Arabidopsis thaliana: one gene and its partner. Each later gene encodes a partner of the first gene's protein in a complex. Each region holds a gene or a part of one and is shown on either strand. Other genes may lie near its edges.

Evidence for each region.
Region 2: AT5G02502 (region 1) and AT1G11560 share a complex: the UniProt entries of both Arabidopsis thaliana proteins name them as parts of the oligosaccharyltransferase (OST) complex.

The regions. Positions count from the first base shown.
Region 1 is NC_003076.8:557,779-560,864, forward strand, and holds AT5G02502 (Oligosaccaryltransferase), read right to left. Parts: upstream 1,458-3,086; 5' UTR 1,364-1,457; intron 934-1,363; coding exon 826-933; 3' UTR 507-825; downstream 1-506. Other genes in the region: AT5G02510 (UDP-glucose 6-dehydrogenase), read left to right, coding at 1,664-1,870, 2,342-2,629, 2,713-2,889, 2,993-3,082. UniProt on the Arabidopsis thaliana protein: Subunit of the oligosaccharyl transferase (OST) complex that catalyzes the initial transfer of a defined glycan (Glc(3)Man(9)GlcNAc(2) in eukaryotes) from the lipid carrier dolichol-pyrophosphate to an asparagine residue within an Asn-X-Ser/Thr consensus motif in nascent polypeptide chains, the first step in protein N-glycosylation.
Region 2 is NC_003070.9:3,880,087-3,883,376, forward strand, and holds AT1G11560 (Oligosaccharyltransferase complex/magnesium transporter family protein), read left to right. Parts: upstream 1-1,540; 5' UTR 1,541-1,701; coding exon 1,702-2,733; downstream 2,734-3,290. Other genes in the region: XTH8 (xyloglucan endotransglucosylase/hydrolase 8), read right to left, coding at 1-200; NTL (NTF2-like protein), read left to right, coding at 3,131-3,290. UniProt on the Arabidopsis thaliana protein: Subunit of the oligosaccharyl transferase (OST) complex that catalyzes the initial transfer of a defined glycan (Glc(3)Man(9)GlcNAc(2) in eukaryotes) from the lipid carrier dolichol-pyrophosphate to an asparagine residue within an Asn-X-Ser/Thr consensus motif in nascent polypeptide chains, the first step in protein N-glycosylation.

The DNA.
Region 1 (3,086 bases):
CAAATTGGTCATAACCGGAAAGCGTTCAAGGATACTTTTAAGAGGTAATATCTCAACTAACTCTCTAACAAGACTACAAAAGAGAGCTGTAGAACTAACTATCTAGCAAGACTACATATCTATAGAAGAGAAAGACAGGTGAAGACATTAAAGCATGACCATTTAGCAAGGAGACACAGAGGTTTAAGAATGAAACAGCTCTTTGTTCAAATAGTCTAGGGTGGTGCATTAGAAGATTGATGCAATAGACAATAAGTATCACAACAGAGGCAATTCAAACAACCTAAACTTGAGAGTTACCAAAGGATGAATGAGTATGTACTCAACATAATCACAGAAACTCCAGTGAACCAGACTGTATAAAGTTATAAACATAGTAACGGTATCACATATGACATAACATCATGGAAAAAACTTTGGATGCAGATAAAGCTAACGCGAATCAAGTAAACCTGTAGTAAACCATGATTATATGGAGAAATTCATTTTAGCTAACTCTTTTTTCTCAAATACCCGATAACTGTGATAGAAGTAACAGAGCTACAGAGAAGACCTGAAGAACTGGGAAATCCAGGTATACCATATTCGCCCATGTATGCAATATGCTCTAAACAGAAAACTTGCATACTAAAACTTGAATGATTGAAACACTACGAAAAATGAAGTCTTTTAACTCTTAATCCATCCAAAACCACATTGTCAAAATACATTGATTACTCATCTACTGGCGAAACATCACGACCTATAGAATGCTAAAGACATATTGATTCCAACACATTTATAAGTTTTTTTTTTGTAGAAACTAACAAAGATGAAACCTCATTCTCATTCGAATTTAGGCTCTGCCACCACGAAATGGTATGCAATGACCATTATGAAGATGAAAATCCCCAGAAAATTGGCAAAGAAGCCGAGGTCTTGGTCGTCAAACATCTGTAACACCACACACAATTAACAATATGAGAAGCTTGGTATCAGACTTAGACAAAACTTGTTAAAAATCACCCACCAATCTACACTTTCAACATCATTTTCTATGAAGATGGAGCACATAGTCCAACACAATTAGGTTCATACGTCAGGAACAAGTTTCTTTACCAAAATCACTAAAAGAAAATAACTTTGACGAAATCCAGACATGAGTATAACATCAAAAACATGGAATACACAAAAATAAAAATAAAAAATTGATTGAATCTCATAGCAGTAAATAAAGAAAGAGTTGCATCATCATCACATCTATAAGTAATTGATCATATGAAATAGATTCAAGCCTTAAGATCTACAAATTCGCTACCATCTGAGAATGACGTATCCAAGGTAAAGACCGAAAAAAACAAATCAAATCTCTGAGTGTTTTTACCTTTGGAGAGCTCAAAAGATACAGACTTCCTTCTTTGATTCTTCCCTCTATCGACTCTACGAAGCAGATCGAAAAAGAAGAAGAACTGAAGAATGACTCTGGTTAAAGAGGTGGTTGACTCAAAAACAAATCGTTTGGTAATATGGTAAACGACGTCGTTTTACTTCTCAAAAAAGGAAAAAAGAAAGTGTGGCTGCTGGGATTCGAGCCCAGGTCTCCACGGCCACAACGTGGAATTCTTACCACTAAACTACAGCCACTTTGTTGTACAGTCTATAATATTAATAATTATATTACAATATGTTTAATTGCTCGTCGTTGTCTCTTCCTTTCTTCTTCACTGCAATTGCTCGACGTTGTCGCTTCCTTTCTTCTTCATCATCCCCGACGAATAAGAGAACCAAATGGTCAAGCTTTGGATCGCCGATTCGTTCATCTGAAACCGGGTCTGGATCCGATGACCCGGTTGCATCTTTGATCCATGTGTTCCCTACCATGGATCCTGAGGTTCGTTAGATATTGTGTCGTAAAGTTTCCATTTTTGACTGATGAACAATGCTACTACAGTAATTGCTCTTTTCATATACTTTAAGTTCATCAATCTTCCATTTAAAAAGTGCTAAGTTATATTGATGTAGTTCCTTCATGAAATGAACTAGGTAACAGTTTTGTGTAGCTATTGATTGATATGTCTTCATCTACAGATTAACATTGTGATAACCAAAGCCAAAGCCCTGCATTGCAGAGAAACTTTGATGCAACATTAGCCTTTGTTACTTCTGTGTTGTGAAAAACTGAAAATTGGCGACAGTTTTGTGTAGCCATTGATTGCATAGAAACTTGATGCAACATTAGTCTTTGTTACTTTGTGACTTGTGTTATGAAAATTGGTGATCTTGGCTGTTATGTTTTGCTACAAAAGTCTTTGGGAGTTTATTGCTAATGTAGTCTTTGTTTTTTGGTGGGATCTTGAATTAGTTTGTCAGAGAGGTTATGAGCAACAAGAATTACGTGTTTGAAGAGGCAAAAGAGAGTTTAAGCTCAATTTTGTTCAATGGGGATTCTGATAGAACAGAAGCTGGCTTTTTTGATGGATCTGTGGAAAGTTGGAACGATGAGGATATGATCGATGGAGCTAAATGGGTTGATAGACTTGTATCCGAGATGACAAAAGCGATAAACATTGATGACATGAGGCGACGTGTTGCAGTGATCTTAGAAGCTTTAGAGAGTATCATAAAGAAGAACACCAACGCCTCGAAGAAGGTATAAATTGATGACATTGATAATGCTCAGGTTTTCTTGGGCCTAGATAATATAACAAATAGAGAGCTCCCAATTCATTGCAGCTTGAATATGCGTCGATGAAGGAGAGTCTACAGAGTTTGATCAATGATAACCAAATATTGAAGCGGGTCATTGCGAATCAACATCAGCGTAGCTCTGAAAACGAAGAGAAGGCCAAACAAGTACTGCATTTGAGAGGCGTGGTGGGGCAGTACCAAGAACAAGTTCATAAGCTAGAGGTATAACTAACTTGCCTACTAGAAATTCTCGGAATTATCAATCTTATAAATCAGCGGATTACTGATTTTCCCTTCGTTTTCGTTTGTGGATATCATTCATCAGCTTAGCAACTACGCCATGAAACTCCATCTTCAAAGGTCACAACAACAACAGACTTCTTTCTCAGGGAATTTGCCTCCAGACATCTACTAAAACT
Region 2 (3,290 bases), on another chromosome or scaffold:
TCGTTATCTAAGGAAAGATTCCAGATCTCTCCATCATCGGAAGTCGTGAAGTGATTTTCAGACCACATAATGTTGAAATTATCTTCAAACGATTGTGTCGGTGTTGCTGCGATAGAGGACGACGCCATTAGAGCCGTCATGAACAAGAACAGAGCCGTCATGGCAGAACAGCTCGTTATGATCCTCCTTTCCGTCTCCATTGGTTGTCTCTACTTCGAATATTTCGAAGAGAGAGAGAGAGAGAGGTAATGCAATCTACACTTGTTCCGTGAGTGAGAAGAGTATAGAGCTTTCTTGCTTTTATTATAAAGACCGGGGAAATGACTGTTTTGACCATTAATAATTCTTTTAATATGCTATTGCGTTTAGACTTTTGATACGGTTTTTTTTCTAAGATTTTCATGTAATAATGATGTTTACGATAATTTGTAAAAGAAAGCAAAAAGGGTAAATGAAAAAGTTTAATTAAAGAAAACTAACAGTAAAACTCAATGATTTTTATGTTAATCAAGTGTAAACTGTTTGGTTATAATACACACGGTTTAGCTAATTAAAAGCCGACCGGTTTATTCATTAAGTTGCTGAGATAGGTCATTTGAACCATATTGATGAGCTAGCAAGGGTACTATAGGAAATATAGAAAACAACAGCAGAACATGGAGAATTGGATCTCCAGGCTGCCACCAAGTGGAAGTGGGATCCATAGAAATGTTCATGTAAAAGCAAAACCAAAAACATTATTTAACTCTGTACTTTAATTCTTTGGTTAATCTTCACTTAGTAAATCTGATATGGGAATATGTCTAACAAAACCCAAATAATATAGGCGAACATGCTTCGGAACATAATATTTTGTTCAACAAAAGAAAGAGTTTGCCTTGCCTCTCTCATATTTTGTTAGCCCAAGACAAGGCACGTGAAACAAGCACGTTATGAATAAGAAAGCAGGGAAATAATACACCTGGAGTTACTAAATTATTAGGTTGACAAAGATTAGTTTATTGGATTGTCTCTTGCATAATCCGGTATTCTTACATTTTTACATAATTACTATTTTTTGTATGGATATGAATGTTTCAGATCTAAGATTGTAGACTGAGGTTTATATAATACCACAAGTATATGCAACTCGACCTTGTTACTTTAGACTATAATAGAGTAGTATTAAGATTATGATAATGACAAAAATGATTTCTTATACATTAATAATACCATTTAAATGATTTACGAGCGATGAAATAAATATGCATGGTCTAGTTTTATGTAAACTCTCTAATCCATGTATGAGTCTCTCTTTTTTGTATTACTAAGTGGTTTCTCATATGTTTCCTGTAAAAGAATCTCAACTTGTCGGCATGTCGGTCCTAATAAGAGAAACCAGAAGTGATCATCAATTTTATTGTTAATTATAGAATGTTTAAGTTTCACATATCATACAACAAGACAGTTTGGCCGAGTGGTCTAAGGCGCCAGATTTAGGCTCTGGTCCGAAAGGGCGTGGGTTCAAATCCCACAGCTGTCAATTTCTTTTCCTTTTTTTCCCTTCTTTAAAACTAAACCCTCTAACTCATCAAGAAGGTTCAATCAAACCTATAAACACCTAGAATTTTGAACAGTTCTTCACTTCTCCAGTATTTCCCGGCAATTCCAGATCTCTCTATCTCCTTTCTTCTTCAAATCCAATCAGAGAGTGATCTAAAAATGGTGATTCAAACGAATCTCTCATATCGTTTCTTCATCTTAATTGTGTTTTTATTTACCCTAGCGAATCCAAAATCAGATTCAGATCTCAAAAACGAACTAGTCTCCCTCCGATCAACCGCCGAATCAGGCGTGATCTCCTTCAACAACGACGACGTTTCCAAATTCATAACCTCCGTATCCACTCCTAGACCTTACTCACTCATCATCTTCTTCGACGCCGTTCATCTCCACGGCAATAGCCAGCTACGTCTTCCAGAGTTCCGCCGCGAATTCAGACTCGTCTCCGCCACTTTCATCACCAACAACAACAATGAATCTAACGGCACAAAGCTCTTCTTCTGCGAGATCGAATCAACTCACTCCGAGGCTTCTTTCCGCCGCTTCGCCGTCGAGTCACTACCACACATTTCCCTCGTTAGCCCCACGACAGAGAATTTAACAGAATCAGATCAAATGGACGGTGGAGATTTCACTGGATTAGCCGAATCAATGGCAGAGTTCGTCGAACGTCAAACAAAACTCACCGTTTGTTCAATCCAACGACCACCACTCATATCAAAGACACAAATCGGAATCATCGTTGCTATAATCATAATCTCGACTCCGATTCTCATCAAGAAGATTCTAAAAGGAGAAACACTTCTCCATGACCATAGAATCTGGTTAGTTGGCGCGGTTTTCGTCTACTTCTTCAGCGTCTCGGGGACAATGCATAACATCATTAGAGAAATGCCAATGTATATCAAAGATTATGAAGATTCAAGTAAGTTTGTTTTCTTTATAGAAGAATCAGAGATGCAGCTTGGAGCAGAAGGTTTCTTTGTAGGGTTTTTGTATACTGTTGTTGGATTGCTTTTGGCGTTTGTTACTAATGTAGTTGTACGAGTCAAGAAACTCGATGAGCAAAGGATGGCTATGCTTTTGGCTCTGTCTATATCGTTTTGGGCTGTGAGGAAAGTTGTTTACTTGGATAATTGGAAGACTGGTTATGAAATTTACCCATATTGGCCATCGAGTTGGCGGGGATGAGTGATCTTCACGTAAGGTTAGTTTTTCAAGATTGTGGAACTGATTAGTTAGTGTTTTGGCTTTCAATACTTGAACATGCATATAGCCAAGTTTATAGTTTAAAGATTCAATAATTGCAGTTTAGGATTCACGAATTTGTGCTAACTAGAGGAATGATTGCTCGAAGACTTATAATGCTTATGGTGTTGCTTTGCATCCATTGAGAAAGAGTACTCTACCAAATAATCGTTGCTTTACTATGTGTGAAGGTTTGGAAAAAGATTGTATGCAATACTTGACCCACAAGAAACCTTCTTAAAAGTGAAAAGATTCTCTCTTTGTTCTTTTCTTCCAGCTTTGTTTAAAGTTAAGCATCTAATTCCTTCACACCCTAGAATTTAATTACTTAAGAGAGCTCATGTTAATATTACTACTGTTTGGTTTTGCTAAGAAAATCAATTTTATTTTGGAAATTTTGACTATGGCAGAGACAAATAAAGGAATTGAAGAAGAAGTGGCAAGTGCTTTTGTGAATCACTACTACCATCTCTTTGACAACGATCGATCATCGCTTTCTT